Linked DNA regions of Caenorhabditis elegans. The protein of the gene in region 2 interacts with the protein of the main gene of each other region in a pairwise test. Each region holds a gene or a part of one and is shown on either strand. Other genes may lie near its edges.

Region 1 (17,779 bases), on a different chromosome or scaffold from region 2:
TCGAAATGTTTTAAAACATTTTCAATATCTCTTATCTGTTGTTATTTCCGCTTTATTGCAATTCATTTTTCCAGGAACATCGCAGATGTCTTGATACAAAGAAAAGAAGAAATGCGAAAATTTGTATTTTTCGTCGTAGCTATTCTTATTCAAATTCACACGACAACATCACAAAGAAATAGAAGTTCATCGCCATCTGGATTTTTGGATCTTCAACTTGAAAAATGTCCTCAAGTTCTCGGATGTCGTTGTGTTCGGGATTCTACAAGAAATATTCAGTGCTTTTCTATTGGTAAGAAATTAATTTTTTAAACAAATGTTTGATGTTACTTTTCAAAAGGTACTTTATTAGAAAGGGTCAAGCTGAAACGCTCCAAAATTTTTTTTTAAAGTTTAGGATAGAACCTATTTTCAGCTAGAATTTTAAATTTTCCCCAGTTCATCAGTGTATAAAAGATTAAAATAAAACTTTTCTAAAAGTGGATAAGGAAAAACACAAAAAACGTGTTCGAGAAAATCGAAAAACTGACATCCTCGGCCCCCTATTCAAATAAAAACTATTTCATTATTTACAGACGAATCAAAACTTCTTGAAATTCAAAAAATCTACGGATCAAATATTCAACGTTTGGAACTTCACAATTGGCAACATGATCAGCTTAATTTCGATATTTTCGCACCATTTCCGCAACTAGAACATATAATTCTCCGAGGTAAATCGAGAATTGCTTCTTTAAAAGTATCAAAATTTTGATTTTCAGATGGTGATTTGGAATCTCTGAATGGAACTGTAATCCATCCAACTCTCAAAGTGCTTTCTATCGAAAATTCAGAGCTGACATCGAGCTCAGAAGTTTGTCGCCTTTTGAGCATTTTCCCGAAGATTCAAAGTCTATCCCTATCGAAGAATTATTTTGAGAAATTTGAATGCGACACGAGTAATACCAAATTAAAAATTCTAGATTTGAGTCAGAATAGAGTATGTCAATTATGCAATAAAAAACAATTCAAAGAAATAATTCTAGATTTCCCACCTGGAAGTGCCAAATACCCTCAGAGTTTTGAATGTTTCACGCAATAGACTGACTTCTTTTGAAAATATTTCGACGAAGCTGACAGATTTAGGTTTGTTCGAGAAAAAAGAATAATCGCAGTTAACAATTATTTTTACAGATATTTCCTTCAATAAACTATCCTTATGGCCATCTTTCGACGATTGGAAGTTCCCGAATCTTCGTAGTTTGTCGGCAATCAAATTGGATTTGCAAACGGGATTTCAATTAGATGCTCCACTTTTAAATTCTCTTAATATTGACGGCGCATCACTAAGATACTTGAATTTTCATCAAATCCTTACGCCGAAACTCAAAAAGTTTGTGATTTTTCATTATTTGGATATTATTAATTTTTCCAAAAATTCAGGTTCTCTGCTCGATATCTAACGGAGCTTCGAAATATTGCCGGTCGTTTACCTTCTACAGTAACGGATGTGGCTTTCACTGATACAATGCTGAGAACTCTTCCAGCTGATTTTATTCCAATGTAAGACATATTTTTCGAAATTTCATAATATATTCGGGATTTTTAGGTCATCTACCAACCATATGCAAAAGGTTTCATTCGATTTCTCTACGAATCAGCTTCTTTGTGATAAATGTTTATTGCAATGGTCTCTACCAGTTTATGCACAGACAAGTATTCGAAAAGATTGCAATTTGACACGGTAAATTATCATCTGGTCGCGAAAATTTTCGGTTTTGCCGGCGAAAATACAGGTCTCGAAAAGAAAAGAGTACTGTACTTTCAAACTTTTGTTCCTGCAGAATTTTCATCGATTTTTCATAATTCTTCGCGATAATATTTATTTAAATACATGAATTTTAACAAATAATGTGAAAAACTACTGAAAAATCTATAAAACATCTATAAAAAACAAAATTTTGGCTGTACAATAATCTTTAAAGGCGCACACATTTTAGCATTAACATAAAACATTGTCGTGCCGAGGCCGGTTATTCTGGCGCAAAATATGGTGTTTGGGTAATTTTTTTTAAATCAAAATGTTTCAATTTTCAGAGAAGAAATTGAATCGGCATCTTGTAAGATTGGTGTTGTTGCTAATGATACTGGAATTCAATATGGAAAATATGAGAAACCAACAGCAATTTCTTGTTTCTCCTACGGAGTTCCATCTCCAAAAATCAGTTGGTGGAGATTTAGACCAGCAGAGAAGCTTGGATCCTATGATCCAATCACAGATGAAATCAGTTATACAAATGTTTCGGAAACGATGAAAGAAAGGTATTTTATATCAAAAATAGACTTAAATAACAGATAATTACATTTTCAGCTATGAAATTCAATCTGGCGGGTCTCTTCTAATTCGATCACCCAACCGATCACATGTTGAACGATATGTTTGTGTCGTGGAAAATGAATATGGAAAAGATTATGGAATTTATCATTTTAGGTACTTCAAATAATTAGTAAAAGAAGGAGAAATTATATCTTCAACCAAACTTTTTAAAATTTCTCAAAATACATATGATTACGGCGGTCTAAAATTTCTCCCCTAAAATATCCAGAAATGAAATAAAAACTAATCGAGACGGAAATTTAACAATTTTGGAGACTTTCAACTTTTTCTAAAATTGTCATTATTAGTCTTAAAAAAATCGGTTTTCCACCTACCATAAATTTCAATAATCGAAGGTAATAACTAAAGTTTTTAGACTCGATTATCTCGATTGGTACAGCTATGATGTGTTCAATTCAGTATTTTGGGGAGGTCTCGCCACTTCATTAATCGTTTGTCTCATATCATTCTTGCTCAATATTACATGGATTCTCACCCGAAAAAGTGCTCTTTGGTGGATTCAAAGGTACCAGATTAATTAAATTAATAAATTAATTAAATCTATGATTTTTCTAGAGCCGAACGCCTGTCACGTGTCCGAAAAATGGTTGAAGCAATGGAAAAATATCGTGTTCGTCAAATGGAGTCACTTCATGAAAAATACACGAAACGCGTTCAAATTGTTCGTGATAATTATCATCAACAAGTTGAAGCACTTCGTGTATCGTATGCATCACAACAAGAGAAATTTCAAAATTATAAAGCAGCTCAAGTGGATGCTGTACATTCACATTTGGATGCAATGAGAGATGGATATAATAATCAATTGGGTAGAGTCAGAGAATATGGATCAAAACGTGCAGAACAATTATGGGAGAGCTATGAGCGACAGGTAAAATGGGGTTTTTTTTTCAAAAAGAAAATTTATGCAAATTTCTAAATGAAAAATGTGCAGAAAAGGTTTTTGAAATCTCTGAAAAATTGGCAAAAAATTTCAAAATTTAAAAATAATTTCCAATAAAAATCGAAAATGTCCTATGTGTAAAAATCTTAATCAAAAAGAAAAATTAAAGAACGAGAATCTAAAAATCGATTTAAAAAAAAAATTACAATCAAATTCGAATTTTGTTTATCATAATAAGATGAGTTTTAAATAGTTTGGTTATTCTCTTCAAAAGTTGAAAATAATATGACCAAACTTTGGAAAAAAAGAAAAAATACATTTTTATAAATTTTTTCCAGGTGAATCGCATGCGAACCTTCAGTCTACAACATCGTCTAAAAATGATGCGCCAGTACAAAGTGAAGCAACGTTATGTTAATAAATTACTCGAATCACTGCAAGCAACATCACCAGAAGTTCAATTGGAGAATGTTAGTTTCTGGAAAACTAGATTAATTGATTTTTTTGAAATTTCAGGAAGAAAAAGTACGTGCTGCTCTAGAGATTCCTGATGATTTGGCAACTATTGATGGTTCAATGGACACTCCTTCTCGCCTCTCGCGTAGTTCATCATTCCATAGTCTTCCTGAATATGTTATTGATGAACAAGGAAACGTACGACCGGGAATTATTCCAACAAATGCGCCTTCCATTAGGTTAATGTCTCACTGTCAGTGATGAAAAACATTTCTCATCTATACTTTCAGATTCACTACCAAACCAACAACATCTTCAATATCAAACGAGGCAAGTACCTCTTCTCCGAGCTCATCAGGAGCTCATCGATCGCCAGATTCTCCACCAGAAAAGAGATAATTCTTTAAATCATTTTGTTTGTTTGTCTATAACCATTCCAAAATCGGTGCCATCATCATCCGACCTATCATTTCTTTTTGCAATTAGTCCTAAAACACTTACTTACCATCTTCAGGAATAATGTTCTCAACTAGAGCTTTGTTTTTTTCTTTTCGAGAGTGTCTTTAATATATCTTTCCAATTCAATTGTTTCATGCCAGGAAATCCATGCAAACTTCTCCCCCAATTCCCACTTTTTGTTCCAAATTTCATGTGTTCATTTATTTATTTTCATTTAATTCAAGTTTTACTGTACGCATATTCAGAGATTAAATTTTTGATTGTATTCTTTTTTCTGGCGACGATTTCTGCATCAAACATACTCGATTGTGGCATGAATGAAATTCCGGACAAGTGAGGTCATCGACACATTTGAAGACATGCTCATTCTGATAGAAACAATGTCGATTCACACATTTATGATTGCTATCACAGTTCCGATCGGTCAAGCATTGTCCACGTGTGGATGCTGATGATATCAGCGGAACGAGGAGAAGAAGCTGAAAACTTCAAAATAATAAGAAATTTGTTATCATACCTCTCACTCACCAAAAATAGAATTTTGAGGAATTGAGTCATAGAATTGAAAAGTGCCAGATAATCAATATCACCTGACGAGAGCTCTTATCAGTTGATCGACACTTTAGAAAAAAAGAAAAAAATATATTACAACAATAGAGACATTTTTCCGAATGAGAGATTCTCTCGGTGAGAAATTTGATGAATTTAAAAATTGTGTTAGCTCAATTTTAAAATCTCCCCAAAAATTTAAGAATCAAATTTGCTACTTGATCTTGAAGCGAACGAAATAATCCAGCTACAGTACTCAAGAGTACGATATTTCGCAATTCGGCCTCTGAAGACTACTGTAGCCACACGTTTTTTCATGAACTTATGAGTTCTTATTGTTTTTATATCAGTTTTTCGATGAATCATCATATTTTTATGACAAAATATGAAAAAAATGTTATCTATAAAAATTCCAACGTACAAAAGTTTGGGATTACAGTAGTCTTTGAGGCGCACAAAATTTTGCACTTAAGAAAAATTGTCGTTTCGAGGCCGGTGCCGTATTTTCGGCATAAAAATCGCTAAATTTTTGCGTCTGGGTGATATAGAAAAGAAAAAGCAATTTCCGCGGGTACTGTAAGTGAAACTTTTTATTCGTTTCAGGACGTCAGGTCTCTACTTTAATTAACTGAAACTTTGAAATTTGAAGTACACCTTGGCGTCTTACGGTAACCTTATTAGTTGAAACATAATTGTTGAAAGATTTATTATGCACAAGAATTATGAAAAAAAAAGAAGAAACAAGAAAATAATTCACCATCGAAATGGGATACACATATTGATAATACACTGATTTCCAGAAGGACAATCCAATTGACTGTCACACCTTCGGAATAAATACGGGAATAGCTGGAAACGTTTCGCATTTAAACATTTTCCATCGTAACAAGCGGTTTCCGATGAGCAGTCCGTGTCAATAGAGCATCTTTGGATTAATGGAAGATATGGAATATTATCCGGAGTAGTTGGGATTTCATCGAATTCTTTGGATTTTTGTAGAACTGCTTCTAGTGGTAGCTTATCATCAATTTCTTCTTTTGGAGACTCTTCGGATGATGGAATGTGAATTTCCGATTCAGTTTCATTATGTGATTCTTCAGAGGAAGTTATGTTGACTTCAGTTTCAGCAAGAGAAAATGTGAAGAACACTACGAGAAGTAACTGCAATTATGTTTCGAAATTATTATTATCGAACATTTTAGAACTCGTATTTAAAGGCGCATGGATTTATTCAGATGGGTCTCACCAGGAGAAAATTTGAATGGTTTGTAACGATTTTGTAACGATTATCAGCTTTTTGAAAATTCGATACTGTAAACTTTTTCGCGAAAACCATCAAAACTACAAATAAGCTTCATGAACTTGTTTCAAAACTCTCAAGTAGACGTTTCAGAAAAGTGGAAACTTTAATTTAATTTTGGAAAATTGATAAGTTAGGCACCACAGTAAAATTTTTAAACTTACCCATAATGCATTCATGGCTTCTAGACCAACAAAGTATTGTCTTTTTGGTAGATTCGAGAAAAGTTGAAAATTGGAAAACCCGGGAAAAAACAGAAAAGAAATGATGCGTGTCAGAGGGCGGAGAACAGGAATGAATAGACAGGCAACTGAAGAGAGAAAAAAACGATAAATTTTGTTATCGCTTGGAGAATATTTTTAAGAGAGCGTGCTGTTCTTTCAGGAGTCAGTTTCAAAAAAATGTGGGAAAACATGTGATAAAATGGTTTAAAAGATTCTCGATGCTTCTAACCGGGTGATTCAACAGTTCTATTGGAAGAAATAAAGAAGAATTAAATGGAGGATGAACATTTATTCAGTATACTTTTTTACGTAGACATTTTTTAGAAGTACAATAAAAAAGGGTTTGATTGTGATGAATTTTTTGATTATTTGTCAATTATTTCAAGATGACTCTTAAATGTGCAATGGTCCGACAGCTTCCTCATTTTCTGTTCTTTTTTGTTGTTCTTCTCTCAGGGTGTCAGCGAAGATTTTCATCTTCTTCTCCTCAACAGCTTTGCGACAAAAAAGTCTTTGAATCGCCACTGAAAATATGAAAATTGTGACAAATGACAAATATTAGAACATACAGAAAACTAGCATGAAGTTGTAGTAGTAGACAAACCAGATAATCGAAATGTCATTATATTTGTTGTCCTTGAATCCCATTCTGCATATTCAAAATTTAACATTTGTTAAAACAATTGAAAAATTGTTTCAAACCTCATTGTTACTATGTCAGTAGGTATGACTTTGCCAGTAGGACATTCATTATGAATCCGCAAAAGATATGCAGATGTAAGTGTCTATGTAATACCTATCCTATACTTGCCTGCATACGTATCAGCCTCATGTCTGCTACGTACCTCTCCTGCCTACCAATGCCAACCAAAGGCCTATCTACGATTCCTGCTCCCTTTTATTTCAAGTATCCGAAGGCAGGCGTAGGCCTGGATGATATGCAGACATTTTAATATTTATGTTAGGCTATTGTGGAAATTCTCAAAAATTTTTTTAATCTCCAGAAATTCTCAAAACTACCCGTTTTTTCCACAAAACTCAAACTATCGATTCTGATGAAAATTGTTAATTAGGAGATCATAGCTGTTTTTGCAAAAAACATTGGAAAAACCTTACATTCCCAAATTATGGAACTCCTCAATGAACTCCATTGTATTGTTTGCATGTGACGTCTGAATGTTAGCAACTGCGTAGATCGGAGTGAAGAAGAGACGTGGTGCGGCACAGATAATGCACAAAGTCTAAAAGCGGGTCTCTTGAACAAGAAGAAAAGTTACAAAACTCACCACAAACTTCTTCCATCCCTTTCCGTCTGCCTCACAGAAAAATGCGATTGATAGAAGGAATGCAATAGAAACGGTAATTCCAGAAAAGATATATCCTGCTGCGCGAATAAACCAAGCACTGAAGAAGATGTACCATATGGTAGAGACACTGATCCATGCGTAGCAGATTTGATGGAATCGGAGGGAGAACTAAAACCTTTGGATATAGAAATCTTTGTGGATATTCACTTACATTTAATTGTTTCTGAAGTGGCTTCCTCACGGCTGTTTTGTCCAGCAACTCCAATATTTCGAATGTCATAGTTTCGACCTGAGGAATAGGAAATCAGAAAGGTGATGAGCATTTTGAACGGTGGTGCAGTACTGATAGATAATACAATTATTGTTCATCGAAACTATTTTTGATTTACAAACTACAACCACCGACAGCATTTTTCAGCTGGCACAATTTGACACAAACTACAGGAAGTATATTTCTAGATAATTCTTAAAACTACAAAAAATCATAACAAAAACCTCAAAAATGAGAAAATACAATGAGCGGCATCTCGAGACGAGGAGAATGCATTTCTGACTGAAAACGCGTTATCCCTATGGCAACAGTAGTAGGGGTGATCACAAGCTGAGCAAAAAGTGTAGCAAGCAGCCATACGAAGAATGAAAATAATGAACGCAAATCACGAGTTGCGCAAGTTATTTGAGTATATTGAAGACAAAAACAGAATGGCAACATTTGTAATTACAACATACTTCTTTCAAATAAAAAAAAATGCTTGAGAACATGCGATAGGTAAATATGAAGGCACGAAGGTAGGGGGTGTGCACAAAGTAGGAGTGAGGTAGCCAGGACGGGAAGATCTCGAAGCATTTATGAAGTAGGCATAACCAGGTAGACCGTTGGTAAACTTGATCAAGTTGCGTGACAGGGATGAAGCGTAGGCGAGTGGGCACGTAGGTGAGCATTGAATAGACCATAACCTTTTCTCATTTAATTTCTGTGTTTCCTTGGGAAAAATCTAGCCCCCAACTTGAAGTATATGCATTTCATGTTCAAGAGCAAACGGTACTTGAAATAATTTTTGAGATTACACTTCAGGATTACATCTAGAATTTTCGAAACATTTTTGAATTTTTCTCAATTTGTTTAAATCCTATTTTTGTTGCATTCCGGTGGGTACTCCGTTGTTTACTTTTCAATAAATTGCTTACTTAAAACATTTTGTGGAACATGAAACAAAAAATTGCAAAAAGAATGAAAAAACTGTTCTCGTGTAGTTTGACTGTAAGCACTCGAGGTAGGCGTACGTATCGTTGTCAGTTTTCAGTCTTGCCTACAACTAATTTTTCCACTGGAACCGTCTAGAATACGATTCAGTATTCAAGTAAAAGTGATAACTAATCTAAAACTGAAAATCCAGATATTCTATCGTGGCGTGTCGGGGCGCGGCCCAACCACAAGTGCCCTACCTTGGGTGCAAATGTCGTCAATTTACAAAATGCCTGTTATACACTTTTGTGTTTTTCCTTTAATTTTGCATATTTTGCATTCCCTTTTCCGAGCTATTTTCTGGACGTGAATCGCACCTATCCCTATGAAATTACTGGTCTATACCTCTTTTTCTGTTCTTCAATCTTTAAAAGCCGTGTATGACGATGTGCTGCTTCAAAAAGTAATGAACACTGATGTCAATCGAATGTGCACTCGGAATTTCTGTCTCGCCTCGGTTTTCCAATTACTAAGATTGCAGGAGCATTTACTGCTGCTCTTTACTTGCCCTTTTCTTCATCCAAAACTACAACTACATATCACAAGACATGTCAACAATCACCAGCCAAAAAGGGATAAGATTATTAACTGAGAGACGAGGGGATAATTCCCTCATACTAACTCTCACTCTTCACTCTCTCTGCTCTTCTCCTCATTTGTCTTCTTTTTTTGATATTGGTTGTGGTTTTTTGTCACCGAATAATAAGAATGCTATGAATACATCTCACAATTCATTTTTCTTTTTCTTGCTTCTCTTCCTTTTTTCGTTCTTTTTGCCGTTTGCCATGTGAGAGTAATAGGCTGTGAATGGGCCAGAAGGACACTGCACAAAGTAGTCAGTCATCACAGGCTTTTGTTTATGATGAAAGAGAGACATTGAGAAGAGGAAAAAGAGAAGATGGAAGAAAAAGGCACAAGAAGTATTCAACTACATGCACCAGAGACCCTTCTCTTCTTTCAACTATATGCTTTCAATATCCATCTCATTTTTATGATCATCATAACTTTTGTGCTCCACGTTCGGTTTTAACTTTGCCCAGTTTTAAATTACGTTCCTCTTGCCTTCCAGTTTTAGAAATTCAGAAGCTCTATAGATGTAGGACTCTCATAAGCCACAAATATCGTACCTCTTCAGAAAACCTTAAAAATTTCCGAAATATTGTTATTTGAAGAACACATGTTTCAAGACATGAAATTTGAAAAACGCCAGAAATTCCGTTTTACCAGAAATTGAATTTATCAATTAGCTTTGAATTTATCGATTTGTTACTTTCAAAAAGCCAAGATTTTGTACACCTAGATTCGAAATTTTGCGATTTTCGACGAGGAAATACGGTACTTTGCGTTTAAAAAAACGTAAAATTCTTTGGATAATAGTAATTCAAACCTAAAACCTAAATAAATTTTAGATGTTTCAAAACTTTCAGTCAACTTTTTGGTAAATTGCCAAATTCTAAGAAAATGTGGGCTTTCCCAGCAATTTTGAGCATAAATGTAAATCTAATTTCTAGAAAGTTGTTAGTTTTTTTAATCCGAAAAAAAACTCGTAGAAATAATTTGTTCATTTTTAATAGAGAATCCTCCAAAATTATGATAAGGACTGATATTTTTTGACAGTGAACAATAAAATTTCAATTAAAAAAATTATATATCTATGATAATTTGGCATTTTGGCGAGAATAGTTTCTATCAATTTGTTTAACTAGCAAAATACGACCAGTTTGAAAATTTCATTAAGACAATCCAGATACTCTTGAAATAGATATTCTGGGAATAGTTTCATTTGAAAATAAACGGTATCCTTTAAACGATCAAGGCCGTTACTTATAACTTATAAAATTATATTTTACAAATAGTTATCTGCAAGTATCTACCCATTGACATCCTTATTTAACTCATTTCTTCTTTTTTCTTCTTACAATAATAATAATGTGTTCAGGATGGTCACAGTGATACCAAAAATAATAAGTTCTCCATATCCTCGGACACGCCTACCACTGTACCTCTACACTGTTTCCATCGTAAGAATTACCAATCAATAGAAAATTCAAGTTTACACCTATAATTCTAGATTATTTCCTGCTCTTTATTATACTGGAATCTTCTTTACTGCAAAAATTATGACTGTGTCGTTGAGAAGGAATTTCGATGGGGAAGTACTCGGCACTTACTACAGGTATCATACAATTTGGTACCATAAAGAAATGACATAACTTTCAGTACTTTCCGGTGATAGCAGCTCCGATTATAATGGTAATATCGTTTTCTTGGTTAATAATTGCAATATATTATTCAAGTAGTTCATGTGTTCTTACATTCAATTTTATGGTAAGTTTTATAGGAAGGAGGAATAAAATAAATATTGAAATTAAAGGAAATGCCATCTGCAGTACTTTGTTCTCTACTTGGTGGTATTAGTTCTGTAATAGAAATTCATTTTTCCATTGAAGTAAATCAAGTTCAATGGACTGATCAGTGGTTACTGTCATCTGTGGGTTTACCAATCAACGATTGTTTAAAAATCGATATTTTCAGGGATCTTCAATACTTTTATGCCTTTTACATGCTACAATTGCGTTCACACTTCAATAATCCTTCCAACATATTTGAATTTCCAATCTTCTTCAAATCGATGTGAAAAAACTTGTATCATTGTTTTTATCAAATATGAAACATTTTATAGGAATCAAAAATATTATGTGAACTGTGATATTTACTCTTGCTCAATTCATTTCATGTAAATATTATTTTGATACTCATTACTGGCATAAATTATATTTTCGAAATTCATGTCACGAGCGCGGATGATGAGGGACAATTCGAATTAATTCTCTTTTTCTCAACAAAAACAATTAAATTTTGAACCTCCCTCCGTTTTCTTTGAAAATGGCCTAGAATTGTGATGGCCGTGGACTAGCATTTTCCCTAGCACGACGGCGGGAATTGTCTGCGTCATCTTCGTCTTGCACGCTCTCTCGTTACCCCCCGCTGTGGTTATTATACCGTTTACCACCTTAATCCCTTCAAAACGCTTTTATAATTTCACATAATCTCTTCTTAGAAATCTCAATCGTTTATTCAGATGGGAAATCGATCAAAGACAGACAATGCAACTGCCGTGGCATCGCAACCACCCAAAAAAGTTAAATCGTAAGTTTTCTTTCCTATTTTCAAAACTAATATATCTGAAATCATCAACATTTTTAGGAAAAAGCAAAAGAAAATGAGCTTTTCACAAGCACAAGACGTATATCTTCGTCTGAAGCAAGAAAAAGAAGAGGAGAAACAACGAGAGCGAGCCGAACGAGAAAAGCGAAATGAGACGATTGCAGCGACAAATAAATCAAGAAAGAAGATGAATCAGGCATTGGCAAAAAGAAATAAAAAAGGACAACCAAATCTGAATGCTCAAATGGATGTACTTCTCGAGAGGATACAGAAAAGAGTGGATAAGGAGAAAAAGGAGAAGAAATGAACTAATTGTTTTGTCTTTTATATTTTCAGATTTTTTTTGTTGAAATGAAATTGTTGTGTTTTTAAAAATCGATAGTTTTATCGTTTCTTCGTTTCTTACCGATAGTATACTTTATTTTCTGAAATATAATTCAATTATTTATTAAAAACCTTTTCAGCCTTCAGATGGCTTCCGATGAAAATATCGGTGCCGACGGTGAACAGAAGCCTTCTCGGCCGTTTTTGAGAAAAGGACAAGGAACAGCAAGATTTAGAATGGTAGTTTGTGCAAATACAAGGCTTATCGAAATAATATATGAAGTTCAGCCTAGAAACAACAAAACATCTGCTGGTGCACCTCCAACGTCGGAACTTTCATCTGCTTCAAGTCCTTCTATTAATGTTCCTAGGTTTAGTCTGTCGGTAAGTAAAATATCTTAAATACAAACGTTATAAAACTGTGGTGACTAGTTAAATATAAATATTAAGTAGAATTATTCCAGAATGCTCTCCCGAACTCTGCCCGAACCGTGGACAGTGGAATATCAAATGAAGACGAGACCCGTCCACCAACCACCGCATCTCTTCCAATGGATCAACCATCATTGTCATCTTCGCCGGAAAATCGTCTAAATCCCGCACCTTCCGTTGCTGAAGAGCATGGCCACAGTGGACAGCACGCTGAAGAAGAAGAAGACAATGACACGGATGAAGTATCTGCAATGCCTTCTTTTGTGCCTGATGAACCTTCGACTCTTGTTAATTCAGATCATGAATTGTCTGATGATGCTTTAAAGTATAAAAATGCAGCTGCCGAATTCAAAGCTTTTGAGAGAAGAATGGATTCGGTAAGAACAGCCAAATCAGAATGATAATTGAAATTTTACATAGAATAGATTTACGTATCAAAAATCAAAACCTACGAATACTCTCTAATTCAAAATTTAATTAATTAAAATTAAAGATGAGATCAGCTTCAACAATCACAACATCACTGGCAACGCCATCATCTTGTGCACCATCAAACTCCTCTGAGCCTCCTACTCGGTCTACACCAATTATGAACGATTTAGGCGTTGGCCCAAATAATCACAATTGGCCGTCTTCAATGCAAGAATTATCAGGAATTTCTCTGGAAACACCACAGGCTCGACCGCTTGGCAGCAATAGAATTAATCAGCTTGGTAGGTTAATAACAAAAAAAACATGATTGATTAGATTTTTAGTTCGAAGTGAGGCTCAAACGGGAATAAGCCTTTTACAACACCATGAAAGACCTACTGTGACCGCCCCATTGAGACGAAATGATATGATGAACTCATCACGACAGAATCCACAGAATGGAAATGTTCAAGATGAAAATCGACCCGAGCACGTTTATGATCAACCAATACATGTTCCTGGATCATCACTGGACCGACAGAAACTTGAAATTGAAATTCGACGTCATCGTAACTTGAACATACAACTGAGAGACACTATTGCTCACTTGGATTATGCAGAAGAATCCGTGCACACCACAAAACGACAGCTCGAAGAAAAAATTTCCGAAGTCAATAATTTTAAGAAAGAACTGATAGAAGAATTTAAGAAATGCAAAAAAGGAGTTGAGGAAGAATTTGAGAAGAAGTTTGAGAAAATTAAGGAAGATTATGATGAACTTTACGAGAAATTGAAGAGGGATCAACGAGATCTTGAACGAGATCAGAAGATATTGAAGAAAGGAACGGGAGAAAGGAATAAAGAATTCACAGAAACGGTAATTAAGAATTTAAGCAAGAAATAGTTATTCGAGAAAAACCACGAAATTTCGATTGAAAATTTTTCTCAAAGCAAAATCTAAAATTTTCATTGAAATAAATTGAGAATTTAAAAAGTTGAAATTCTATTATAAAACCTTTAATTTAAAATCCAGCAAAACTTGTCAAATTTCAGATAGCCACTCTCCGCGACAAATTAAGAGCATCAGAAACCAAGAATGCACAATATCGACAGGATATACGTGTTCGAGACGAAAAGCTCAAGAAAAAAGACGAGGAAATCGAGAAGCTTCAGAAAGACGGAAACCGGCTAAAGAGCACTCTACAGACTTTAGAAAAGCGCGTAAAACAATTACGTACTGAAAAAGAACGCGACGATAAAGAAAAGGAGATGTTCGCGAAGGTTGCAATGAATCGAAAAACTTCGAATCCAGTGCCACCAGTTTTGAATCAAAGTGTTCCAATTTCGATAACATCAAATGGTCCATCTAGACATCCATCATCATCTTCGTTGACAACATTTAGAAAACCATCTACATCAAATCGAGAAAGAGGTGTTAGTTGGGCAGATGAACCAAATGAACAATCATTGGAAGCTGTACCACAGGAGTTTTTGATGGTAATATTTAGATCAAAGCAGGGTTTTTTTAAAATTGTTTTTAGAATATTGCTCTGAAAAAATCAATTCAAAAAAAATTTCAAATTATTTTTTCTTCCCGACTAAAAAATTAATATTTTTGAAAAATAGTTTTTTAAGTCTAAAAATTTACAGCTTACTATTAGCATTTGCCGAAAGTTCCGATTTTTCAAAATTCCCAGAATTAAAAATCAATAGTTTTCGAGTTACCGAAAATTGTCAAAAAAAAATTTTAAATCATGCTTTTTGAAGATGCCAGTCAAAGAAATGCCGGGAAAATTTGGAAAATGCACGATCTACAGAGATTCTCTTGGAGAAACATCTAAAGTGACGGATACAATAGCTAACGGTCTTCTTTTCGAATATTCCAATGGAGATCTTCGATGGGTTAATCGGCAGAACGCTGTTAATGTAAGTTTTAATTGGAATTTTGTCAATTAAAGTGACCAATTTACAGATCTACATATCCGCAGTTGATAAAACAGTCAGAATTGATCTCCCCACATACAATATTTCAATTATTCATACATTTCAAAGGCAAGTTGAAGTACTTCGTCCTGGAAATAACATAACATTGATAAGTATTAAACGACGAGAAGTTCGAACTGATTTGATTTATCAAAACGGAATGTATAAAACTGAAATGTAAGATTATTTTCTTTTTTAAAGTTCATCGGAAATTTCGTATTTCAGCTTCAATAGGGACGGAAGATATGTTACGAAGGATTTTAGCAATCAAGAAGTTTCGAGAAAGTGAGTCTCTATTCATTTTCCAATTAATTATTCAGAAAAACCATTAAAATCTCAAAACTATTACCCAGATGTTTAATTTAATTTAATTTAATTTATTACGATAGAAGATATCGTTAGGTAGAAAAAAAAACACACACACATTAATAGATACAAACCATCACAAGTGGTTACATAAATAAATTACATAAATAAAACGAAACAAAAATAAAAAAAGAGATGTGACATTTTGCGGCAAAAAATGTCTCGGCACGATAAAATTTAGTTAAATGGGAAAAGGCGTGCGCCTTTAAATATTACTGTAGTTTAAAAATCGCGTTACTGTCGAATTGTTGTTTGCCCCTTTTTTTTTTGATAAAAACATGTTTATTAGTTTAGAAAAAAGATAAATAAACCAAACTACAACAGTCTTTATAGGCGCACGTATTTTCACATTTAAAAATCTGTCCTTTAACGAAAAAATTGTAAAATTTGGCGCCTTCAAAGAGTACTGTAATTTCAAACTCAATTTGAAACAGAATTTTCATCGATTTTCCTTAGTTAGTTTTTCGATGAATTTTAATTTATTCATTAAAAAAACTCAAATAAGTATAACGATATTTTAGCAAATAATATATTTTCAAACAAAACATGTTTCTATAATTTTTGTCTAACCCAAAATTTAGGAATATGACCTCAATTCTTCAAAAAGTTAGTAAAACAGGTTTAAAACCCCGTTATAAATATTTTTGCCTCTGAAACCTATCAAATTTTCAGATACAATCCCGGTACACACACATATCGCGACAATCAATGTCGCTACGTTCTCGTCACTGATTACAACGATTTTGAGCTCGTTGAGCCAGAATTCCGTCTTCGTTGGTATCAGGGAGATCCGACTGGTCTCAACAATCAGTATATTCTCAAGATCATTGGACGACCTGAATGCAGCGAGAAAACATTGAGACTTGAAGTGAATCTTTCCACGTGTGAAGGTACATTGGAAACTGCAGAGATGATAGGCGATAAACGTCGGAAAACAACTTTGTTCCAGTGGAAAAAATGAGAAATTCCAACCCCTTTATTTTAACTTGTGGTTTGTATATCTATTCCATTGACATTATTTTTCACTCCTGAGTGCTCTAAAATTATAATTAATTCTACCTCCTGTAAAATCATATCAAATAATTCAATCATTTTTTACTATCTCAATTTTCACTTGCCCCCTCCCCCATTTCTTTCATATTGATCTTCATGGTTATTTTATTGACTGTTATAAACAATTTTAACTTTAAATGTTCTGCACAAAATTCGGGATTCAGATTGCAAAGATTTATTGGAACACTGGAGACATTTCAAGATGATCTCGGATCTTCTGCACGACTCGACGGACTCAAACTTTGAACATTTTCGTGTGAGATTTTCTTTTCTTTTTCCGCACTTTTCTTCTCTTTCTTCTCCTCACCACTTCCATCTTTCTTCTGATCATCTACATCCAGGAGCAGCATCTTGTGACGTGTAATCTTTAGATCACTGAGACGAGTTTTCGAATCGCCGACTTCAAGAGGAGCCTACAATCATCCTTATCTTTTTATATTCAGAATATCAAAAAACTAACCGGGTCACCTCGACCAGAAAACTCGCCTTCGCCTTCTTCACTCGATGATTTCTGAGTTCTCAGAGTAATCATATGGGTCTTACCGCTGACACCAAGAAGCGTGTAGAGTCGAGCCATCAGATCGTCTGAACGATATAATTGTTTAAAAATCTTAGATTCTTAAGCTTACGATAAGTGGCATCCGTTGGAAGGCTGACAACGACTGGCTTTGAAAGGTACAAAAAGTACCAAAGACGTTGATCCGGAACCTTCTTATGTCGACGAGTCCTTCCACTTTTTGATTTGTTCACAGATCCTTTCCGAGTAGCACGAGTACTTCCTCGAATCTTTCCACGTTCAGCTCCATTATTCGACAATTCTCCAGTATGCTCAGCAATTTGTTGCGGTGAGACTTCACGCGTAAAAGCATTTGACGGAGATGTCGAAGTGGCACAAGACGAGTGGTTTTCTGAAAGATTGAACTCTTTTTATCAGATTTCTGATCAATTTCTGTTACCTTTTGGCTGAAGTGGACTACACACCAGACAGTAGAAGTGCCCACAATCAAAACGATCCAAATTGTTTAACCCAATGATTAACTGGAATAATTGGTTTGATCTTTCAAAAACCTGCATTTTGTAAAACAATCTTACTTTCTTGCATGCATCACATTGTAATGAAAAATCCATTTCATCTCCGACCTGAAAAATATTAATTTTCAATATATCCAGATTTTAAAGTGAAAGCCGCCCAGAATTCATGCACAAATAAATATACCTCGCCACAGCAGGTTACTGTAGCT
Region 2 (15,731 bases):
CATGTCCAGCCTGAAAGTGTTCATTTTCTCCACCCACTTCGATCCACCCCTTGATCATCTTTTTTCATACTTTTCTTAAATTTCTTCTACCCTTCTTTTTCTTTCTCACTCTCTATATCTCTCTTCTCATTCAGAAATTCCAACAATTCTTTAAATTCACAGCTTCATCGTCACCCCCCTTCATCATCGATTTCTGTGTATCGTTCGTTGCAAGTGCTACCTATCATCTATCTCCGCTTCGCTGACCCACTTCGCCCCGTCCGTTTTCACCCCAACATCCTCTCCTTTGCAGTACTAGTGGCACAGCGTGTCATCCTCCTTTTATCGCCTAGTTTTGATCTACTCGATACTTTCATTAGTCTTCGTGCGCCGTCCACAACTCTTCCAACCGAATTCCAGGATCTTGGGTTCTGCGCCACGTTGACAACACAAATGGAACAACTCAAATGCCACGTCAAACAGTATGCGTGGGGAAAATATGGTGAGGAGAGCGAGGTGGCGAGACTATTTGCAGACGGTCATGAAAGTTTCCAAATTGATCAGAAGACACCATATGCTGAGGTAAGTATTTTTAATTAAAAAAAACACTTTTTCCTATATATCTTGCACCCTCATTGTTCTATGGCTAATTCCTGGTCACGTCATTAATTTCCAGCAACATTCATTACATTGGCCTGATCTAGATATCTTGCCAAAGTGGCAGCTAGAAAATCTCCGAAAATTCTGAATAAAAACGGAATAAGAAAAAAGTATTTTGTGTCAGATGGAAAACTGGAATAGGAGATTGATTCAAACATAAACGAACAATAAATAGTTCGTATAGTTTTCAATCTTAAAAAAGTAATTTGAATAGAATTCAAGAATAAAACAATATCGAATCGGAATCGTTTTCCTGAACAGAGTTCAAAATACACTTTGACAATAAGCATTATTTATTCATTACTATAACAATTCGTAAAAACTAGGAAATCGTATGTAAGTGCCAGATTAAAAAATAGCTCACATCTTCATACATTTTGGTAAGTTTCCACTCCACCGCCTTGTAGGTCCCGTGGGAGAAAGGCTGCGATTTTTGTGTTATTTCACCCATCTTATCAAATAATTGAATATCAAATATCATGCGAAACTATGTTCTTGGGGTTTGAGTCCCCGATGTAAATTTAATTTTATTCTGACTTCACTCAATCCTATTTCCTGGTATTCCCTTTGCCTCACTCCGTGTTTCCTTATATTCATTCATTAATCCATATTTCTTAATACTTTACTAAACCCAATATTGGCTAGAAAATTGAAATTTATATGAAATGTTACCTGGGAATATGACACAGGTAAACTATATGCTCACATAGGAACAATTTAAAATAAATACCTAGGGAGGGTTCATGGTAAATATGTATATACATACCTCTGAAAAGCTTTACATTCTTTTTTGAATACAGTTATTTTATTGGAGCCGATAATCATTGGTCTGAACCATTTAAAAAAGTGCAAACTTTTTTAATCTCTGTTGATCTCTGCTGCAGGAAAAAGTGACAAAACCGAATCTTCTGTAGATAAAGAAGTGTTTGGAAAACCTGATTGGTGATGGTTTTTTGAACCGATGTTGTTCTTGAACACAGTGATCAGACAGAGAAACCATGATTCGTAGCCTAGTAATTTAACGTTTTGTAGCTATGGATGGGAACCCACCCCGATGGACCAGCTCAGCTCAAGAAATGCTCCACCAAACTGTCGACGTACTTGGCAAAGAACCCATCTCCATTGACAAACAACAATTCGGCAAAGAACATTCATTTGCCATTTATCATGAAGGTGATGTCGATCAGAACCACCTTGTCACTACAAGTTCATCCAACCAAAGTATGTAATGAATTATAGCAGTTGGTTACCACGAGAGTTTTTATAGGAACAAGCTCGCCGATTGCATGAGAAAGACCCTATTCACTATCCTGATAGGAATCACAAACCAGAGCTGGCCTACGCACTTACCCGTTTCGAACTTCTTTGCGGATTCCGGCCAGCTAGAGAGATTTTGCAGAACCTTCAGAGTAAGTTGAACACACTAAGGTTTTAGTTTCAACGTCTTGTTAAAGTTTAAAAAAAAGTATAAACTTGGATCAAAAGTTGGCAGTGTTTGGGCAAAAATTTGTTCCAAGCCGCGCTGGCAAACGCTAGTCCAATTTTTTCTAATGTTTTTCTCAATCTTTTCCTGAGTTGTTTGGAATTTGGGTAAAATATTATATCAGCTCGGCCAACATTTGTGATAGACCCGAAAAAAGCCTTGTTCAGCCTTTACAATGCCTTTTCAACATCTGAACAAGATTTGCGTTTTCAAACATAACAATTAAGTAAGAAGAAGAACCCGAGAAACTCAATTATCTAGTCACATATTGGTTATTCCAGCCTTCCCATCATTCCGGTTACTTTTCGGAGGAGACACGTATGCTAAACCACTCGAAGATTGCATTCAACAAATGAAGGATCTGAACTCAGTTGACCAGAAATCTACAGAATTTAAAGACTCGAGAAAATATTTGGAGGACTGCTTTAGATTTATGATGGTTCCAGAAAGAAATGATGTTCATGTGGGTGTTTTTTTAATGATTTAATATTTTAAATTCAAACAATTTTTATGTTTGAATCGAAAATCGCAATTAACGTTTTTCGAGCATCCTATTTAAATTTCAATGATTCTTAATTACTAAACCCCATTTTTGAAAACCACGATTTCTGTTTTGTTTTTTTTAAAATCTATTTTATTCGGTATTTTCAATGTTTTCGCGTGAGGGAAAAACGATACATAAGGATTTTTAAATGATTACAAACTAGATAACTAATTAAGTTATCAGTGCTACACCAACCAAACTGGCAAGCAAATTGTGAAGCAATTTTTTTTTATAATGTTTGCGTATTAATAAATTTAAATACTGCTTGATTTTGATATAAACTTTCAAAACACTTTGGCAACCTGTTTGCAAATCCTTTCAAAGTTTTGTATTTCATTTTCTAACTTAAACTTTAAATTTCCAGGACCTGATTGCAAAGCTTCTTTCCGAACTTGACAATGGGCTTCGTGGTGCAGTTGAAGAAGTAACAGTAGGAGTGATTCGAAAAATGTCGGTTGATTTTCCAAATGATATTGGAATCTTCTCCCCACTTTTCCTCAATCACATGATTCTCGAACCAGGACAATGTTGTTATTATGCTGCTGAAGAACTTCATGCCTATCTCAGTGGTGAATGTGTTGAATGCGTGGGATGTTCAAACAATACGATTCGGGCCGCCATGACTCCAAAATACATTGACAGAGATGCTCTTTGCAGTGTTCTTAACTACAAGATGACAGAGCAAAAAGATTATTTGGTGCCAGAGAACAAGTTGACTGAATGTGTTGATATGTATGCACCAGATTGTAAAGATTTCCAACTTCATAGAATACGAGTAGGAACACATCAGACTGTTGAAGAAATGATGATTCCAACTCTTGATTGCGCATCCATCTTTGTAGTTGTCAGCGGAAAAGGTACACTAGAAGAGGCGACAATTGACAATCAGCTGATTGGACAGTATGAAGTTAAAAGAGGAGATATCTTCTATATTCCACCAAAGCATAATATCAGGTAAGTACGACTATATCTAAACTTTTATAAATTATTTGATATTAAATGTGGTCTCCTTCCTAGAAGTATTCATTATTAGCCATATTCTTTTGTCTTGAAATGTATTTTCTCTCATTCTTAAAAGTTTTTGCCAGTATCCAATTCGTTTTATTCTAAAGATTAAGAAAGGAACGACACGAAACTAATTAGAAACTTCCTGTTCAACAACTACTTTCAAATGTTTTATTTTTAGATTCTCAAGCTGCTCGGAACCATTAGAAGGATACAGGACGTTTAGTTACGAAATGGGACCAGATCATGACACACGGCTCGTCACTCCAGTTCAAAATGCGGTGCCTACGATTACTGAGAAAATGTTCAAATTAGATGCAGATATGGAAGAAGCGATCACCGCTGTTGTTTAATCTCTTTGTTTTGCATTTAATTTCAAATATTTTTCACTGTTTGAGCACTGATAATATTCTAAAGATATCATCCGTGTGCCGAATTACGGGGTAATACCAACACTTTTTTCAATGGAAAGTACAGTATCTTTTTGTAGTTTTTTTCATTATTTTTCTGTATGTCACTCTGTTCTCATTTCTAAAATGCTTCCTTTGTTTAAAAGGCGTTTTTTCTTCAATTTCTTCATTCCAATTGGCTTTTACCATTCATTCCTATGCTCCTCCACCAATCGCTCCGATCTACAATGCCATGAGAGTTCGTGGCTGCCGCTTTTTGCGCCTCGATCTACCCGAATCTTCTAGTTTTCGACACTTTTACCTTACCTTTTTTCCCCAATTTTCCCATTCGTTTCACCCCAGTCTCTCTTTCTCTTTATGATTTTTTTTGCAATTATTTTCTTCATGCTATCAGTTGTGCAAATTTATCTAGTTGTTTTTATTTTGAACATTGCCCAGAATAAATTTCACAATCAAAAAAAATTTTTTTTTGCTCTTCGTTCTACATTTAAATTTTTATATGATGTCGAAAAAAATGCAAACATGTATTTTTACATTTTTTTGACTTATTCAAATTTGTCAAAAATTTAAAATTAATGTTTTTAGATAGTTGGACTCTTTTAGATAAGATAGTTGGACTCTTTTTAAGGAAAATGTATTTTATAACGTGTAGAACTGTAGTCAATCATAAACTGGGAGCTGAAAAAATGAGAAATTAGACAACACCAGCTATATAAAGAAATGCTAGCAAAATTGCAAAAGTTTAGCAAATTGCGACCACCAAGACGAGAGCCGCAGTTAGGATAATAATTCTATAATGTTGGTGTCGCCACAGCGAAATTTGCGATTTGCAAAATTCATCTAAAAATTGGAGACAATGAGTTTTTTAACGACAAAACACCTGTGTTAGCAGGAAGTTGCTCTCAAATGCTCCAATTCTGAAAGTCACCAAAAAAGTGACGTTTTGTATCGACAACACGTAATTTGATTTGGTTGAGGAACAGTCGACTATATTGTGTAAAGGATCTCTCCAATAGATTTCGATTTCAAAATTCTGCAAGATATATGTTTATTCGTTTGGGTATGTGTGCATGCATATCGTCACAATATCAAAAAACTGTTTAAGAATTGTTTGGGAGTAAAAAGATAAATACAACCAACAACTATTATAATTTGACGTATTATGGGAACACAAACTTCTGGGAATGCGCATTGGGCAACATATTTGCCGCGCAAAATATCTTGTAGCGAACACTACAGTAACTCTATAAATTACTACTGTAGCGCTTGTATCGATTTACGGGCTCGATTTCGGAAGTGAGTTAAAATAATTTATTTATTGATAGAATATTAAAATTAAGCAAAAAATGAGAAAATGATACGAAGAAACAAATGGAAAATGGAATATCACTGTCACTTTTCGAAATTAAATTCATTTCGAAGATCGAAATCCCGTAAATCGACACAAGAGCTACAGTAGTCATTTAAAGAATTAAGTACTGTAGTTTCGAGATACTTTGCGCGTTGAATGAGTTTCGCAATACGCGTTCTCAAAATTTTATTTTCCGTAATGTGTGTTGTTTTTTTATTTTCCTTTGTTTCTTCTACTAAATTTGTATTTATTTACTTTTTATAGAAAAAGAACGGTTTTTGCTTATTTATTTTTCATTCAAAACCCCGTGTTTTATCCCATTTTTGACTGACTAAACTGATTTTTTTTCTGCAGTTTTCCAGTCTCCAATTTCGCTTTTTTTTTCAGAAAGCTTTTAAAGTTCCCTATACGCCAAAATATATAAAAAATCTGTTCAACAAGATTTCCGTAAATATTTCGTAGCGAAAACCACAGAATCGGCACACAGCGCTACAGTAGCCATTTAAAGACTTACTGTATTTAGTTTCCGCTACGAGATATTTTGCGCGTCAAATATGTTGCCCAATACGCATTCTCAGAATTTTGTGTTTCCGTAAAACTTCAACTAGTACACTTTTTTAATTGCCATTTGTGTGATGGAAAACAATTTCAACCGGTCTATCAGTTTTTATTCTGTCTACCAAAAACTATTATACATACATACAAAATCACTGTTTTTCAATTAGACTTCAAATTGAATATCAGTCTTCGGAAGTGCTCCACGAAGCTTCTCCTGAACTTTCTCCTTCCCGTGAACACTCTTTAAATTGCGAAGTACAAGCTTATCAAGAGCCGAGAATTTGGTTAGATGCTCCAATCCGAATTCGGTGATACGACGGCATTCTTCAATGTGAAGAGTTTTCAGGTGACCTCCTACATGATTTCCCATGTATTCAAGACCAAAATCATGAAGATTCTTACATTTGATGAAGTAGACACTTTTGATTCCTGTCAAGCCTTCTGAAATAAATATTTATTCGTTTTCTTTGCAACAAATTATAAATAATTTACCAAAATGACGACAACCAAATCCAGTAACACTTGCATTGACAGCTCTGATTGTTTCCAGAGTGACATTATCCTGTGAAAGTCTCGGATCCAATTGTGCAGTTCTTTTCACCAAACAATTATAATCCTCAAACGTCTCAGCGATCTGATTGAACTTGATACTTCCACCACATCTCACAATCCATTCAGCTGCAGCACGATCTGCACCCACCTCCTTCACTCTTTGAACATCATAGCTGCAAGAGATCTGTGTTAATCTGGTCTTAATAAGTGCATTCAGCCACGGTTCTTCGGTTTTGTACTTTTGCAAATTTTTGCAGAAAACGAGAAAAGAATGCGATAAACCGAAAGCGATTAGTTCAGTTTTTAAACCAAAAAATCAAATCACACTATTCTGAACATTACGGTCATTTTCCAATTTTATTAGCAATTTATCTATATTCGGGGACTTATTTTTGAACAATTATATTCTGTTTGCAGAAAAGTGACTCTAGGTGCTACATCTTTTATTATAAATCCTGGCGGCCTAAAACTTTAATTTATATTATAGATCAAACCCAAAAATGCCTGATGGCACCTGTATCGGCTAGACCCGCTCAGAAAAATAGCATGTCCCTTTAAACTGAAGTGCCAAATTTTCGCGAAATTAGTCAAGTACTGCTGTAACCGGATACTGAACTTGGAAAAAGGGTTTAAAACGCAAAAAAAACAATTTTGAAATTTTTAGTTTTTGACCCGAAACAGTTGTGCCTGGTCTTGACACGAAAATTAGTTGGCAATTTTTACAGTTTTTGTATATTTTTATTCTCAGTGAAAATCTGAAAAGCGAACATTTTTGATTTTTTGGTTCTTCCGTAAAATGAAATTTCGAAAAAATGTTTCAAAAATTAACAAAAAAAAGCGTTTTGAAATTAAATTTGTTATTGTATTGTATTGTAAAATGTTAATGAGAGAAAAAATAATTATTTTCTAAAATGGCAAAAATTGTAGGCGCTTTTTTTGAAACCGTATTTTTGAGTCTGTAAATTCGCGACTATTCTAAAATTTCAACGTGATCCATTTTTGGCATTTTTCGTTTTTATTTTAATAATATTAGAAAAAAACCAACTTGTTGAATCCCTCCAGAACCCAACGGAGTCCGGGAATATTGTGTTGTCCCAGGGCTTGGGTAAACTTTTCTTGTATTTTACGTATGCTCATCTGAATTTCATATAATTTTTTGTTGAATAAATTATTATCAATTCAAGAAAAAAATACATTGTCCCATAAAAAATCAGGGAATCGACTTCAAATAAAAAAATCAACACATTATAAAACAGAGATCATATTCATTTTACACAGAAGATTATTGCCAAAAGAATTTTGAGATTTCAAAACGATTTTCATAAATATATAACACTTTTTAAAGAAATTAATCTATATATGGGCGAGGTGACCAGTCCTTATCGTGATTAGCCTTCCAATCTTCATTATTTTCATTCAATCGTGGAACATCATGACGTAACATGAATTCTCGAACTTTCCAACGAAGTGATAAACGACGCATTTCACCTGGAGCCGGATGACGATCCCATTCAGATCTGCAAGAAAACAAAAATGTTATAAAAATAAATGTTGAAGACTTTTTTCAGTATAATTTTGCAAAAAAAAAATTTTAAGTGCAAAATCACTTCGAAAATTGGTCGCGTTACCGTTTTAAAAAAATATTGCAAAAAATATTGTTTTTTTTAGAAATTTATATACTTTCTTAATATTTTTTTGTTTTTCAAAAATTCATATTTTTTATTCCGTGATTATTTTCACTCGAGAATCGCTCGCCCACTATGGGGGAGTCTACGCAAGGACAACGCAAGGACAAGGACAACATTCTAATGGAATGGAAACAATTGCCCGACTGCACCAATTCTAGTTCAAGCGAACAATGATAACTTTTGTATTCTGTATTCCTTCACGTCTCCCAGCGAGCGTAATAAATTATTATTATTATTATTATTATTTTTTGAAAATATTTTGATTTTTTCAAAAATGTATATAATTTTTTAAAGATTTGAATTTTCCACAAATTTATCCATTTTTTAAAACATATTTTTGTTTTTTTTCCAAATTTTAATTTTTTTTTACTTTTTTTAGATTTTTTAAAAATTGGCATATTTTTGAAAATGTAAAAAAAAACTTTTTAATCTTTTTTTTTTTGGAAATACGATTTTATCAAAATATTTGATTTTTATTCTATTTCATTCAGTCTATATTGTTGGAAATATTTTAATTATTTCGAAAACTTTTTTTTTCCAATATTTTCTTTCTTTTCAAAAATTGGCATTTTTGATACTTTGATTTTTTCAATAATGCCAATACTTTTTAAAGTATTTTAATTTTTTCTAAATCAAAATTATAAATAAAACGTTCTTCCATCGCTACTACACAGTCACGACACTCTCAAACTGAATAAAATGAATTACTTGTAGAAATGATATCTTGTGACCGGATCATATTTTTTTGGTGCTCTTCCTGGTTCAAGTGACAACACATTCCGAGTCCAAACTTCTTTTTCCGGTCGTGAAGATTTTTGAAGCTCTGATTGTTCAGTTTCAGTGCTTAACCCCACGGAAACTGATTCAGCGATATTTTCCTCATCATCCACACTTGATCGTTCTTGTATGTCGCTGCCATCCAGTGATATTGATTTAAGAGTCTGAAAAAATATTTAAAACTTATTTTTTATAAAATAAAATGCACAAACATCTGAATCTTGACGTTCGGTTGGCTCACAGGATTCAATTTTATTATTTTTAGACTTTTTGAACATTTTCCAGCTTAATCTATGGAAAAAATCTTGAATGGAAGTCAGCATTTTTCAACAAAAAAAAAAACGAAAAAGTCAAAACCTCTGTGGCACCATTGCATGTTTCCATTGCACGATGTATGCTTCGCCACGCTCGATCGACCAGAAGGTTTCTCTCAGGATACTCGTTTGAGCTTTCATCGTCGAAATCGCTTTGTAACTCTACATTTTCGTAGATAAACCGTTTTCCTTGTCTTTCTGAAAAAAAATCACAGATTAATTGAAGAAAATCTTAAAACTTAACTCACTTCTAGAAACAATTGGGGACTGAATATTCAGATTTTCGGTTGGAAAATTTCGTTCTTGTCGTATGAATTGAGCGGCTGGATCAACTGATAATGAAGCAAATAGAGATTCATTCATAACGTCTTCATCGGCATCTGACAGACAAAGCTCTCGGTCGAGTAGATTATCAATTTCTGAAGAATACGATCTTTTATATTGGATTTAAATATTTTAGGAAAAAAAACTAACCATTCTTGAAAGTTGCAAATTGGTTTTTGTCATGTATATGGTGACCCATTTGATGAAGAATATCTTCGAGCTCGTTTTCAGTGGTAAAATTTGCCATTTTTCCTTGAAGCCAAATGCTCGATGAAGCGTGTTTTATGAACAAGGAGGAAATGACGTACACGTTAAACTACCCGTAACGTTTTGAAAATATTTTTGAGATTGTCACAATGATCTGATCAGTCACAAGATGGTGGGGTTTTTCTGTAACAACAAACAATATTGTTCGTGCAAAAAAAAAACAAATAAAAAACAAAAAAGCAAACGTGCTCTATTGAACGCCAGAAAGCGCGCCAGGTTCAAATCTTAAAAAAATAGCGCGCGCGGTGCCATTGCAAAACAGTGCGCCCAGATTGCCAAACATGACTCCGCCCATCATTCTCCTTGTTAAAAACTTTTCCGAATTTTCTAATTTTATCCCGAAAAATTAAATTTAAAATAACTTTTTTATTAAAATTCAATAATTAATGATAATGACGGGTTTTCAGGTACATGAGCGATAACCATGCTTTTGGGCGGCCGATTCAAGAAGATGGACGAGGAATTGTCGAAACTATGAGAACAGAATCCGCCGCCATTTCCAATAATTTTAATGCGGTGAATAGCGGTAAGTCTCTAAAAGCAGAAAAATTGACCAAAATTAGCTATTATTTCAGTTAACAAATCTGTTGTACAACATCTTGATGAGCTTTCACAAAGTTTCGATGAGATTTTCACTTCAACAGACCACTCCGATGTAACTCTTGTTCTCGACGATGGAACTGAATTTGCTGCCCATCGTTTGATCTTGGCTGTGAGAAGTAGCTTTTTTCGAGCTATGCTCTATACAGGTTTTCAAGAAAGCCATCAACAGCTTGTGACTCTTCAGGAAACGAATTCAGTAGCCTTCCGAGCTGTTCTTCGGTACATGTACACATCGAAAATCGATTTTGCCGGAGTGGAACTGGATATTTTGCTAGAATATCTCAGTCTGGCACATCGTTATGATTTAATTCAGCTTATGACAGCAATAAGCGAATATTTCAAGGAAATTTTGAAGAATGAGAACTTGTGTAGTATTTTCAATGCTGCATACTTCTTTCAATTCACTGATCTTATAGATTATTGCATGCAATATTCTGATAAACATGCAGATCAGCTTCTCGAAGATCCCAGCTTCAACCGATTATCAGGAGATAGTCTGAAGGAGCTTCTTGCGAGAGATTCATTTTTTGCATTAGAATTGAAGATCTTCAATGCGGTACGTTCATGGCATCAGAATAATCCAACAATGAAAGAAGCATCAAAAGTTTTGCTGGAATTGGTCAGACTTCCCCTTATAACACAAACCGAACTTCTTAATTGTGTAAGACCAACTGGGTTGGTGTCAGCTGATACTCTTCTGGATGCTATAGAAGTTCAAACACAAAGACCACACGAGATTCCATTCAGAGGATGCAAAAGTGAGTTGAATTTTATTTATTTTCTGTTTAATCTATTCCATTTTATAGGCCTCGACACGAATATAATTCCACACTATCCACACGCACAGCCATTGTCACGAGAGCTCAGCAGTCGCTACACTAATGACGAGAATATTAGTGTATTTCAAATTGATCTCGGAAAACCATTCATTATCAATACAATTATGATGGATTTTAACTGGAAAAATGAAGTTCAAGCATTTACATACCAAGTTCACGTTAGTATGGATAATCGAGTTGATGCTCATTGGAATCTAGTTGCTGATTACTCGGAATATGATTGTCGAGGAACACAAAGACTCTTCTTCACAGATTCTGTTGTGCGGTAAGTGATTGATTTTATTGTAAAATCCATTGCATTAATAGTAGAAATTCAAAAACATTTCGGCGGTTTTGGAACTAACGGGCGAAGTTTAATTGATCTATTTTTTATTCATTTTCCGAAACATTTAAAACTTTCGAAAAAAAACTACAGCGCCTATAGTAATTTTCTACAGAAAACCCGTGAAACTCGAAAATTATTCACCATAATTTGCATTTCAGGCATATTTTGATCCGAGTCAACAATTCAATGTCGTGTAAACTGGAAGGAAGTCGAATCGAAGCCATGTTCTCTACCGAAACAATGCCTGTCGAACCTGTGCACAAAGTCATAGGTATCACATTTTGCTGTGGAAATGTAATATAATTTCAATTTTCTCAGTTCCTCATCGAAACATCACAACGATAGAAAATCACGCACGGGTTGTTGAAGGAGTTTCTCGATGTCGGAATGCTCTTATCAACGGGGATTCCTCATCCTACGACTGGGATACTGGATACACGTGTCATCAAATTGGAAGTGGTCTCATCATGATTCAACTTGCTCAGCCCTACATTATATCTTCAATGCGAATTTTGTTATGGAATTGTGATGATCGATTCTACTCGTATTATGTTGCCGTATCGAAGAATCAAGACGAATGGGTTACGATTGTCGACCGCACCAATGAAGAATGTCATGGATGGCAAGAACTCATATTTGATCCTCTTCCAGTTGTGTATATTCGACTTGTTGGTACCCGGAATTCCATAAACGAAGTCTTTCACGTTGTACATCTCGAGGCTCCCTCAAACGTTCCAATTGCCATAAAATAAAACCGGGTTACAGAAATATATATAATGCATTATTTCACTTAAATGTCTGATGAAAAATAAGTTATTAAATTTATTGAATAAAAATGTTAATAATTTCTTTTGAAAAAAAACCACATACACGGACGCCACACACCGAAAATAAATTTATTTTTTTATTTTCTTTATTCTTGAAATTCTAACCGTTTTTTTCAGATTTTTGAGAGGGATGGCGAAGCGAGAACTGAGGAAAAGTCTCAAATCAGAGATAGAAAACCTATTCAAATCACCAGAACAAGCAGAACATGAATTTCAATGTAAGGGGAATAAATAAAAAAATAAATTCCAGGAAAAGAAATTAATTTCAGGTGCAACAAAAAGACGTCGATTAACAAGCTCTGAAAAACCAACCAAGTCTCCTAGTACAAGTAGTGATGATCCATCCAAGCCAAAATTAGAGTTAAGGCTGTCCCGACTAGGTGATGGCCATCGATTAGACTGCGAAAGTAATAATCCACTTTAAAATCCACAATTTTCGCATAGTTTTCCAGCTCTGGCTCAGTTTATTCACTTCAGCATATTTGGATCATCACTCCAAAAGCCCAGATGGGTCAGTCTATCCCATCATAGAAATGTCCTTCAGAACCTAGTGGTTCGTGTCAATGTGGATGACGATTTTTTCGTAAGGGATTGCATTGAAAACCTAAATCGCTGAAATCATTACAGACGACAACGAATCTAAGCTTTCTTAGTGAATTCTTTGAAAAGCAATGGATAGAGTTGGATTCAGATGTCAGTGATCGTGGATTGTTCTGGAACAGCATTATGCAAGTCCGGCTTACTATTCAGGAACAGATTCGGAGAAAGTCTGTCATAATGCAAAAAACTTATGATAGAGACGGAAAACACGATAAATCGCATTTTGTGCTCACAACTGAACAATTGGCTCAACGACGCTACCCATTTCCTGGTGAAGAAGGTGTTGTACCCACTAAACAAGGGTAAATTAGCGATATTACTTGTTTTCAGTGCAGATTAAGTTTTATTTAAAATTTCAGATATAAAAAAATATCAGCTTCATCTCCAATGTTTTCTGTTGACTGTGAGATGTGTGAAACAGACGTTGCGAATCGAGAACTTACACGAATATCGATAGTGGATGAATTCGAGAATACGATTCTAGATACTCTTGTGAAACCAGAAGGTCGAATCACAGATTATGTGACGCGATGGTCTGGAATTACACCGGATATGATGGAAGGAGTAACGACGACTCTTGGAGATGTTCAAAAAGCTATTCAGAGCTTGTTACCGCCGGATGCAATTCTTGTTGGACACTCATTAGAGCACGATCTACAGGTATTCGAATTTTCAGTTTATTTCCTATTTTATTGAAACCAATTACAGGCAATGAAAATGACACATCCATTTTGTCTCGACGTTGGTCATGTTCTCAACTATACGAATAGCAACACAGAATTCCGAAATAGTCTCAAAAATTTGACGGAACTCTTTCTCGGAGCACAAATTCAATCAGAATTCGGTCATTGCTCGTATGAAGATGCGTGGGCAGCGATGCGCCTCGCTCAGCTGAAACTCGAAAAAGGATTGATGTTCGGGAACGTGAGCTTCGGATGGAAATATTCTGAATACGCAAAAAACAATGGAGCAGTTGAGAAGAAAATTGTCACGGCTGCTGAAATCACATCAAAACCGTGTACTGATTGCTCTCAGCCAACAGTTGTTGCTTGCACAGTTGCCAATTGCAGATGCAGATTTGTATCGACTCCTTCGAAATGTGTGCATTGTGTGAAGATCGGGATAAGTGCCCAAGGAGATTTTCATTGGCAGGATACACTTGATGTGGATCATGAAAAGAAAGCATCTCCAATCGGGAATTATTTGAAAAAGGATAAAATGAAATCTGTGATGTGTGCTTTCGATACTGCTATTCTCGACTGTCCTCCCATATCAAAAAAGTAAGATATTTAAAAATAATAAAGTTTAAGTACCTAATTTATTTCAGGGTCCGCTCAAAACTTCATTCCTCTTTTCCCTCCTATAATGGATTCGTCAACAGTGTAGCTTCTGAAATGCTCAATGACAGTGTAATCCTCGTGGAGATTGACAAAGAAAAAATAGAACCATTGGAAGAAACTGATTCAGAGCAAGGAGAAGTTCCTGACAACGCGGAGGCACTGAATCGGATTCTTGAAAAACTGGTTGCCGCCACGGCTAAAAACTCACTGATTATGATGATCTTGTCTAATTCCACTAAAAACGTGCTCTATGTAAGAGTCAAATAATCTTTTTTTTTAATATTAAGTTTCTCATAAAATGAATAACAAATAAAATTTGGTTTAATTTAAACTTCAATTTCCAACAAAACAACAACATTGATAACAAAGAAACGAAACAGTGAAATCATAAAATTTACTTGGCGGCTTTACTGAGCTTTGCCTTCTTTTTCAGCTTTTCCAAATCGATCGGCGCGTCGTTCGGTCGCTTCTTGTTCTGTTTTTCTCGCGGAGCTTCCTCTTTTGCTTGATACACTTTCAACTTTTGCTTCTGTTTTTCCACAGTCTTCACCGCCGATGCTTCCAATTTCGCTCTGAAAATTTCATAAATTTATTAAATTCCGTTACGATTTTTGAATTAAGAATACTTACCTCTTTTTGTTCATCTTTCTTTCGTTCTCGCGAATAAAATATTCTCCGCTTTCAATCTGCTTGTCAATCTTGCTCATAACTGGAGCCGGTGGGAACGGAGTGAACTCCTTCTTGGGCTTCATCTTGTAAGCCTTCTTCTTCTTTGCTTCCTTTGTTGTAGTTGCAGATTGAACCTTCTTTCGGTAGTTTGGAAGATAAGCATCCCAGTTTGCATCTTTCAATTCATCATTTTTAGATAATTCCCTTTTGATCATCATAGTTTTAATATTGTAGATTGGGTGAATATTTTTCATACAATCAGTGACGATTTGACTGAAATTTTTTATGATTTCAAAGAGAGTCAGAATATATTTTCAACTCACTTGATTTGTTTCAGTCCAGCAAGCGGTCCAACAGCACAAACAGTTCCTCCTTGAACACAAACATAGCACTGTGTCAGCAATTCGAGAGCTTTCAAGGTAGCACCATCGTTTCCAATTAGCCGAGCTCTACGCTTCACAAATCGTTCTTTATTGCGAACCATTGAAGAGATTTTGATAATCTCGCAATAGATTTCATCTTCGAGAACACGAATCGCTTGTTCATAAGGCACACTACGGGATAGAAGCTTGATGACCTCGCGAGCCTTCATGATTATATAAGGATCCCAAGTTTT

What was found.
Region 1: the proteins of hyls-1 (region 2) and sas-4 interact in a two-hybrid assay, tested with the Caenorhabditis elegans proteins (one study listed by BioGRID).

What each region holds. Positions count from the first base shown.
Region 1 is NC_003281.10:8,313,243-8,331,021, reverse strand, and holds sas-4 (Spindle assembly abnormal protein 4), read left to right. Parts: upstream 1-12,433; 5' UTR 12,434-12,440; coding exon 12,441-12,533; intron 12,534-12,581; coding exon 12,582-12,677; intron 12,678-12,757; coding exon 12,758-13,102; intron 13,103-13,218; coding exon 13,219-13,438; intron 13,439-13,480; coding exon 13,481-14,013; intron 14,014-14,189; coding exon 14,190-14,633; intron 14,634-14,903; coding exon 14,904-15,062; intron 15,063-15,108; coding exon 15,109-15,296; intron 15,297-15,344; coding exon 15,345-15,404; intron 15,405-16,157; coding exon 16,158-16,446; 3' UTR 16,447-16,673; downstream 16,674-17,779. Other genes in the region: iglr-2 (Immunoglobulin domain and leucine-rich repeat-containing protein 2), read left to right, coding at 112-292, 576-713, 762-979, 1,026-1,125, 1,174-1,372, 1,423-1,542, 1,589-1,723, 2,077-2,301 and 6 more; ZC262.13 (FIP (Fungus-Induced Protein) Related), read right to left, coding at 4,424-4,654, 4,704-4,733; F10E9.12 (DUF7107 domain-containing protein), read right to left, coding at 5,478-5,885, 6,189-6,203; F10E9.1 (uncharacterized protein), read right to left, coding at 6,642-6,772, 6,818-6,897, 7,365-7,489, 7,535-7,723, 7,767-7,835; F10E9.10 (uncharacterized protein), read left to right, coding at 10,742-10,822, 10,873-10,977, 11,022-11,129, 11,176-11,292, 11,337-11,393; F10E9.11 (rRNA-processing protein FYV7), read left to right, coding at 11,884-11,951, 12,009-12,276; F10E9.2 (uncharacterized protein), read right to left, coding at 16,736-16,951, 16,999-17,123, 17,168-17,446, 17,495-17,576, 17,631-17,678. UniProt on the Caenorhabditis elegans protein: Required for centrosome duplication. Plays a central role in determining centrosome size.
Region 2 is NC_003283.11:7,231,719-7,247,449, reverse strand, and holds hyls-1 (Centriolar and ciliogenesis-associated protein hyls-1), read right to left. Parts: upstream 10,070-15,731; 5' UTR 9,893-10,069; coding exon 9,796-9,892; intron 9,741-9,795; coding exon 9,570-9,740; intron 9,520-9,569; coding exon 9,365-9,519; coding exon of another isoform or gene 9,299-9,364; exon of another isoform or gene 9,172-9,298; coding exon 8,939-9,171; intron 8,060-8,938; coding exon 7,891-8,059; 3' UTR 7,791-7,890; downstream 1-7,790. Other genes in the region: C05C8.7 (mannose-6-phosphate isomerase), read left to right, coding at 433-561, 1,672-1,860, 1,907-2,048, 2,404-2,585, 3,031-3,620, 3,853-4,024; C05C8.1 (ATP synthase subunit s, mitochondrial), read right to left, coding at 6,154-6,431, 6,483-6,715, 7,588-7,679; hpo-9 (BTB/POZ domain-containing protein 9), read left to right, coding at 10,324-10,438, 10,488-11,273, 11,322-11,619, 11,838-11,950, 11,998-12,431; C05C8.5 (Exonuclease domain-containing protein), read left to right, coding at 12,637-12,724, 12,776-12,913, 12,959-13,089, 13,134-13,408, 13,466-13,766, 13,815-14,386, 14,434-14,713; krr-1 (KRR1 small subunit processome component), read right to left, coding at 14,841-15,018, 15,077-15,388, 15,439-15,731. UniProt on the Caenorhabditis elegans protein: Plays an important role in ciliogenesis.